Linked DNA regions of Cricetulus griseus. Each later gene encodes a partner of the first gene's protein in a complex. Links are inferred from orthologs where the notes say so. Each region holds a gene or a part of one and is shown on either strand. Other genes may lie near its edges.

Region 1 (3,807 bases):
CTCAGCGTCCAGGGCTGTGAATGGGATGGGACAATTCAAACCGTGCATAGACAAGTATTCTCCCTCATGTCTTTCCCCCACCCCCAGCTGGATGGGCTCATCCATCGCTTCATCACGCTCCTGGCAGACACCAGTGACTCCCGGTCTTCTGAGAGCAGAGTGGCTGATGCCAACATGGCCTGTCGGAAGCTGGCTGTGGCCCACCCCATCCTGCTACTGAGGTGCTTACTCTCACAGCAGTGGGCACACTGTGGGGTTGGGGCTTCTTGTGGGAAGAGGTGACCAGGGGTACCTTTCTGTTGGCCCCCAGGCACTTGCCTATGATTGCAGCCCTCCTGCACGGCCGCACACACCTGAACTTTCAGGAGTTCCGGCAGCAGAACCACCTGGCCTTCTTCCTGCATGTGCTGGGCATCTTGGAGCTGCTGCAGCCGCGTGTCTTCCAGAGCGAGCACCAGGGGGCGCTGTGGGACTGCCTGCGCTCTTTTATCCGCCTGCTCCTGGTGGGTGCCAGGCCAGTTGGTTGTCCTCACATTCCTCAGCCCAGATATCCTGCCATGCCCCCTCCTGTCTTTGCTTGACTTCCTTCTGCTCCCACTGGAGAACCTGGAGCGAGGGCCAAAGCCAAGCCATCCCTCTAGTGGCTTCTGTCTCTGCTGTCTGGAGACCAACCCTGTACTGAGCCCTAAGCCCCAGCATCCCCTGCCTGGGGAACCCCATATCCTAGACCCCTAGTGCTAATCCCCTTTGTGTGCTGTTTGTTGGCATCACATGCCCTAGTCTGTACATCTTTGTTGTGATATTACAGAGACAGAAGTCAGGCTAGTGAGCTATAGAAGCAGGACATAACTGCAAATAGCACATGGGTGGCTGAGGCAGGAGGATTGCAAGTTCTAGACTGGCCTTGATTATAATATTGTGAGACTGACTATATATAGGTTAGACCATCTCAAAAAGAAAGAAAGAAGGAAAGCAAGAAAGAAAAGGAAGGGGGAAAAGCCCAGAGGCTGGAGCTTGGACTCAGTGATTAAGTGATTAGAGCAGTGGCTGCTCTTGCAGAGGACCTGGGTTTGGTTCCCAGCACTTACATGATAGCTCACAACCATTTGAAACTCCAGCTCCAGGGGATCTGTCGTCCTCTTCCGAACTCCGTACCGGACACTCATGTGGTACACAGACATATATTCAGACAAAACACTCATACAATAAAATCTAAAGCCCAAAGTGCCAAGCCTCAGTCAGCCTGACTTTGGGACCGGGGCTGTCGTGGGGGTCACTTGTCAAGTAGAGGTTCTGAGGAAGCCTCTGGTGGCTCTGCCTTTTCTACAGAACTACCGAAAGTCCTCCCGCCACCTGGCCCCTTTTATCAGCAAGTTTGTGCAGTTCATCCACAAGTACGTGGCCTGCAGTGCACCAGCAGCCGTGACCTTCCTGCAGAAGCACGCGGAGCCGCTCCAGTGAGTTCCCACGCTTGCTGTGGCTCTCTGGTGGCTCCACACTTGAGCCAGGAAGGACAATTCAGATGTGACTGTCCTGGTTGGAACTGTAGCCCTCATCCCCACTTGCTCCTCCTCACTCTCCCTCCCCCCCACCTATTTTCCACTGACCTCGCCCCAGATGATTACCTGCCACTCTTCCCTGCCTGCCCTCCTCCAGGGCAGTGGCTCTCAACCCTGTAATTTTGCTACTGTTGTGAATCATAATGTAAATATTTTTAGAGACAGAGGTTTGCCAAAGGGGTAGTGGAGAACCACTGCTCTAAAGTGAACCCATGCTCTCTCCACAGTGACCTGTCCTTTGACAACAGTGACCTGGTGATGCTGAAGTCTTTACTGGCGGGGCTCAGCCTGCCCAGCCGGGACGGGAGAACTGACCAAGGCCTGGATGAGGAAGGGGAAGGTGAGGGGACAGGTGGGCTCTTGGGTGGAGAGCAGGAAGGGTTCTGGTGGGTCTGGCTGAGCCCTGAAACTTCACCTGTCTCATGCATGTGCATGGGCGGTGCCATGACAAACTGAACAGAGCCATCCTGTGGGAATAATGTTGGGTTCTGCTCCCATGTCAGATGTTAACCTAGATGCTTCCTGGGCAGGCTGGTCCTTAGGTTAGGGTCTTTTGCCTTGCTTGCTTGATGGTGGCACATGCCCCACAGTCAGGGCTCTGTCCTTTGCTGACATGGTCACTAGCAGGTGAGTGATGACTCAGCCAAGGATGCCTGGAGGCTCGGTGATTGTGTCTAGGCCCTGCTGCCTGTGTTGGTTAGATTGACTGGCCGGCCTTTCTGAAAGCACACAAAAGGTATTTCATAGAGGACACACTATGTCCAGACACCAGTCTTCCATGTGGAATGGCACCTTGAGGGCAGAAGCAAGAGAATGCTCTCCTAGACTGTCTGTAGGTATAAGGAAAACATAGCTGTGTCTCCCAGGGTAGCCCAGCATCCTGAATGCCACCTTCCACATGACACCGCCCCCCCCAACCCCGTAACCACCACATGGACCAATCACAGTGTTGCATCCTGGATAGTGGCCAGTGTGCCTCTGGGGTGTGAAAGGTTCAGGCAGATACCTAGGCAGCTTAAAGGGCTTTGTGTTGTATGGCCACATCATGGCCATCACTCATTACGGGGCTTCGTAGGGACTCAGTGCACATGCTCAAGCTCCCCCTTTTAAGCCTGAGACTTCATTCATCCTCTCTCTCTCTCTCTGTTTCTGGTGGTTGACCACTAATTCTGCTCTCTTACTCTCTGCCCTGCTCTGTTCTTCCATTTTTCTCTCTCCCCCTCTCGCTGTCTCGCCTGGTAATAAACTTTATGTTTAATGTATCCTCCACGGTTCATGTTCCATCTCTCGACTTCTAATTTAAGCAAAATAACAACACTATGGTTAACGTATCTCTCATTCTCACATCTCATCTTGCGCCCTTTTTGTATTTTTAAACTTAAACAAGAGAACAGGGTGGGCATAGTCTTTCCATGGAGACTGCAGGTCTGGCTGAGCTTTGTGTTCAGCCATTGCCTGACCCTGACTAACCTTTCACAGATGAGCGATCAGCCGGCTCCCTACCCCTGGTCAGTGTCTCCCTCTCCACTCCACTGACTGTAGCTGACGTGGCTCCACATATGAAGAGGCTTTCCCGGGGCCAGGCTGTTGAGGGTGAGTGAGCCAGCTGCTCCTAGACCACCCTGGATGCACTGTGCTGTTTGCTCAGATAGCACAATGAACCCCCAAAAGCAATGAGGTGCTTAAGGAAGACCCAGCAGGGTGGCTGATAGGACTGTCAGTTTTCAGAGGAGAACCAGGGATTGGGTAGAGGGGACTGCTCCAAGTATCCTGATCATAAGGTGAGCCACTTGTCAAGTTCTCCCTGGAGACCAGTGTGAAGTCAAAGGGAAGGGGAGGGTATACTGTCAGGGCAACCACAGTGCCCTGTGCATCTTGGGGAGCCTCTGGAGGACTGGGATACCTGGGAACTGGCCCTTCCTGTTTCTGGGTAGCTTAGGATAGAAAGGAGGGTCCCCCTAGGTCCTCCTAGACTTCCCAACCCGGCCCATTGTCCTCAGATGTGCTCGAGACTCTGAGCGACATAGATGAGATGTCACGGCGGAGACCTGAGGTCCTGGGCTTCTTCTCGGTGAGTAAGGCTGGGAGAACCTGTGATCTAGAGGGTGGCACTCATCCTGCGACATGTGAGCTGGGCACTGCCCCAACCTGAAGCAGGAAGCCAAGCAGGCTATCCCATTGCCCCGGTGCACCTTGGGAACAGTTGCCATTAGGCTGAGCCTCCATGGTTGCCTGGTGACACTCCTCT
Region 2 (4,596 bases), on another chromosome or scaffold:
TGTCATCAATCCTTGAAGTACTAAACACAAACCTTGGAAACTACTATCACCCACGATTTAACAGGTTTCTTTTTCTTCCAGAATCATTTTCTGGCTTTCAGTGTCTTTATATTTTCTTAGACTACCACAAACTCTTTGAAGTCCCGGCCCTCATTTTTTCATATATTAATTCCCACTAGCCCTAGTCTGCAGCAGATACTGGCTGTTAGTTCATCATTTTTTTTTTATAGTCTTAATCTCTAATAATCTCATGCCTCGCCGGGCGTTGGTGGTGCACACCACACTTTTAATCCCAGCATTGGAGAATTAGAGGCAGGCGGATCTCTGTGAGTTAGAGGTCAGCCTGTTCTCCACAGCGAGTGACAGGAGAGGCTCCAAAGCTACACAGAGACACCCTGTCTCAAAATACAAAACAAAACAAACAAAAAACTCATGCCTCTACTATGGTTCATTCCCACAAAACAGTATGCTATAATTTGTTTTTAATAAATTAAAAACTTTCCGAGTTCTTTTTTTCCCTCTGAAATATTAGGAAAAGCCCAAACAACAAGGGCAGATTAAAAAAAAAAAAAAAGTGTCACAAACATGCCACTTCAGTTGCCCAGCAGGCCAGAATTTCAGCATAGAGAAAATCCGGAAATGCAGGACCGGTGGGAAAGGCCCTATAAATACCTACAGTCTAACCAGGCCTCTATGTCCCAAATTCAACTTGTGTATCAGGCAGCGTCCTGCAGTTTTCCAACTACACTTGAGAACAATTCATACGTCTTGCAGGCGCAGATTGAAGGCTTCAGGTAATGTGACATGGGCAGAGAATTTTTCTGACACAATACTGGCAGGGACTGAAAGGCGGGTTTCCGGGAAATCTATTCTCTGGGTCACCTGCGCAACGTGGTCATCCTTTCCATTTTAAAACGAGGGCAGTGGATTAGAATCTGGCAAGCTCCTTTTTTTCTTAATATACTCTAGTGCCCAAACACGAGTGGAAGAGGGGAACTTGGTTGGGGAGGACCGCTGTTTTCCTGGTCCATACTTGAGTTCCCCTTCGTGTTTGCAGGGTTGGGGGAGGCACTCCAGGACTGGCTTCCCTTTCTGTGGGTGCTCTGACTCGCTGCAGCCGGAGCCGAATGACTGGCGGGGATTAGCACCAGGTCATAAACAACCTTTCACTTCCCCTCCCCCCTGGGCCGTCCCGGGGCCCGGCCTGCAACGGCCGCGAGGGCCTGCGCGGTTCCCTAGCCCCGGCCAGTTGGCTCTCCTCAGCCCTGCACTCTCAATCGCGACGCAGAGCCCTCGCCCACAGGCTGAGGGCGGCTTCCACTTCCCCTCTCCCGACCCTGTCACCGAGCACAGCCCAAAGGCCGGCCGCCCTGACACGCACGCCCACAGCCGCTGCCGCCCTGCGCGGGCCGACCCAGTCCCCGCCCCCATCCGCCGCGCTTCCGCGGCGTGTCCCCGCCCCTTCCCGGAGCCCGCCTCCCGGCTGCGGGACCTGCGGCCGCCCCTCGCGCTGGCTCTAGCGCGCACCCGGTGCCCCGCCTCCGCGCGTGCTCAATAACTGTCCTCTGAGTCTGCCTACAAGCTTCCCCCGCCCCTGAGCTGTTTGAATATGCTAATAAGGCTCTAAGGACCAGCCAGTAGAACTGCGGGCCTGCGCATCACGTGACACGAGTACGTGTCAGGGGCGGAGCCTACGTAGCCCCTGCCCGAGTTAAAACCGGAGAGTGAGAGAGAAAAGCGCTTCAGTAGCGAGAGGGGCTGAGAAAGTGGTGACACCGCTGGGGTGCGGAGGGAGTCCCTGAAACTTCTCCCAACAGCCCCAGGGCCAATCTCCCCTCAGCCCAGTCCCCTCTTCGCCAGATCCCTGGTCCCCACTCCCTGCACTGGGGGTGGGGTGGGGAACTGGGCCCGTCTCCCGCGGGGACACACACAGGGGCCGGGAGTGGGGACGGGACCCCCAGGCGGGGGGGACGGACGGACAGGCGTCCGTGCGGCCGCCCCAGCAGGCAGGCAGGCAGGCCGGAGGCAGGGGTACGACCGGGAGGACCTGGGCTGGGGAGTTTCCTCTCAACTATCGGGGGAGAAACTCCCCGCAGCCGGTGTTTTCCTCCCGGGGGCCGCGTTCCCCGCCCCGCGTAGCGGCGGTTGCCGCCGCCGCCGCCGCCGCCGGTGCTTCCACCTCTGCCATCTCTTCACCACCTCGGGCCCCGGTGTCCCCGGCCAGCACTATGCCCATCTTACTGTTCCTGATAGACACGTCTGCCTCTATGAACCAGCGCAGCCATCTGGGCACCACCTACCTGGACACGGCCAAAGGCGCGGTAGAGACCTTCATGAAGGTACCGACTGACCGAGCCCCGGCGGCGACCCCGACCCGGTGGCCCGCGGGGGGCAGGGCGGGGGGCGGCGGGGCTACTGCGGGCGCCTCGGGCGCGGGGACCCCTCCCACCGCGCGGGCGTGCGGGCGGGCGGGGCGAGCGGGCGGGCGAGCGGGCGAGCGGGCGGGCGCTGGGAGCTGGGAGCGGGCTCCGCTGGGCCTGGCCCATGTGGGGCTACTGTGGGTGCGGGGGTCGGCGGAGTGGTGGCCCTGTGTGTACGGTACTGTGGGGGCGGCCAGCGACCCTTCTGCGACTGGTAACCTCGCCTCTGTGCTTCCTTCTCTCCCTCCCGTCCCCACCCTGGCCCGCAGCTCCGTGCCCGGGACCCTGCCAGCAGAGGAGACAGGTATATGCTGGTCACTTTCGAAGAGCCGCCCTATGCTATCAAGGTAACAGCCCTCGCCCTCCCCCCTCCCTTCCCTGCTCCTTCCTAGCTCGCCCTCCCCGCCCCCCTCTTCATTATGCTCCCCTCCCCCACCGCGGCTCCCGCCTCCAGGTCCCTTCCCCTGTGGCCTCCCACCCCTCCCCAGCTCGGGAGCGCCGGCGCGGTGGCAGTTTCTGGCCCACCGCCGTCCCCTCCGGGTCTGGCTCGGCCTGGCGGTGGAGGCGCTACGATCAACATGGCCGACATTTCCCCTCCGCGGCGTGAGCGGCAGCAATGAACTGTGGGGGATATTTATTCAAGTTAGCCCGAGTGACAGCCGGGCCCAGCCTTGCCTAGCCAGGGTTTGCATTAAAAGGGAATCAGCCAAGCTGGCAGGGAAGCCAGGAGGGGGGCTTCGAGACTTGGTCATCACAGAGTGGAACTAGGAAGGCCACCGATTGGTGGGACAGCTGTGGTCAACTTAAGAAGTCCTGCTGCCATCTGCCTTCCACTAGTACCTTCGCAACACCCACCCCTTACACACAATTTGGAGGATGTTATGTTAGCGAATTTCCCAGTGAAGTTATTAAAGTATTAAGACTGTGTAGGGCAAGCAGGTTCATTCTTGGCCACCTTTGGAAGAGATTTCCTCACCCAGAGACAACAGTTATAACATGTGACCCAAGCCATATCAATCAAAAGTGAAGTTAACTATACAAACCCGAAGTGGAATGCCTGCTTGGTGGACATCACATTATAATCGGTGTCCATGTGTGCTGTGGCTTCAAATGATAAAAAAAATTCTTACATCTTTCTTTTCAGGCTGGATGGAAAGAAAATCATGCAACGTTTATGAATGAACTGAAAAACCTTCAGGCAGAAGGACTTACGACTCTTGGCCAATCCCTAAGGACAGCTTTTGATTTGTTAAATTTAAATAGATTAGTAACTGGCATAGACAACTATGGGCAGGTAGGTTGAATACTAAGGTAGAAAAGTTGTTTTTATTTATGTGTACAAAAACACAATCCAGTCCAAAAGTATGCAACATGAAATGCAAGTATAAAACATAACAAGGTTGAAATTTAGTGTGCACACAGTTCAAAACACCTAAGGTGTATGAGTTCCCTCATTTTCCCCTTTAAGTGTATTTCCCTGTAGACTTCGAATCTAAATTCTTGGCTATAAAGTTGACATGAATTTGGTTTCAGTCCCTCAAAGTTCATAAAAGACATCAAGGGGAAGATACCCTGTGAATACACCACTCTGAAACTATGCCACGTGTAGGTACATATGTAACTACTGCAGTGGGTCACAGCTGTCCCGTTGACTGCAGTTTCTTCTATATTAGTAAAGACATTGGAAGACATGACTGTTAGATGAGGGTTTAGCTTAACCTAGATTGTATACTTGCAAAGGTGAGATTTGTCAGTAGTGCAGTCATTGGTTGACATTCAGATGTCTCTTGAGGCCTATACTATTAGAAGTTACTATAGTAGGAAGTCTGAAAGTAATGACAGATTGAGAATTTTTAAAGTTTAAAATTTCAAAACCCTTGGGAAAATGTTTTCTGGGAAACATGAAAACTTGCCTGTCTTTCTGAAGCTCCTCAAAGTTCCTCTCATTTGTGAGGATGAGGCAAGAGCTTTAAGTCACAGCAGTCATTTACCAAGGAAATGTGAGATGATCCATTTATGATATGCTATCCTAGAAATAAAAGATAACAAAGAATATGTATTGCTGCACACCAGTAGTATCACACCCAAGAAATTCAGTATGCAAAGCACTATTACCATAATACTATATTTAGGAATATATGTTATATACTCTTCCCAAGTTCCATAATGCACAGTT

Evidence for each region.
Region 2: Ints1 (region 1) and Ints6 share a complex: the UniProt entries of both Homo sapiens proteins name them as parts of the integrator complex. The link is inferred for Cricetulus griseus from reciprocal best matches to the Homo sapiens genes INTS1 and INTS6.

The regions. Positions count from the first base shown.
Region 1 is NC_048597.1:76,395,615-76,399,421, reverse strand, and holds part of Ints1 (integrator complex subunit 1), read left to right. Parts: intron 1-87; coding exon 88-221; intron 222-310; coding exon 311-503; intron 504-1,329; coding exon 1,330-1,457; intron 1,458-1,786; coding exon 1,787-1,899; intron 1,900-3,038; coding exon 3,039-3,152; intron 3,153-3,559; coding exon 3,560-3,630; intron 3,631-3,807. UniProt on the Homo sapiens protein: Component of the integrator complex, a multiprotein complex that terminates RNA polymerase II (Pol II) transcription in the promoter-proximal region of genes.
Region 2 is NW_023276807.1:217,770,877-217,775,472, reverse strand, and holds the start of Ints6 (integrator complex subunit 6), read left to right. Parts: upstream 1-1,737; 5' UTR 1,738-2,228; coding exon 2,229-2,339; intron 2,340-2,689; coding exon 2,690-2,767; intron 2,768-3,564; coding exon 3,565-3,714; intron 3,715-4,596. UniProt on the Homo sapiens protein: Component of the integrator complex, a multiprotein complex that terminates RNA polymerase II (Pol II) transcription in the promoter-proximal region of genes.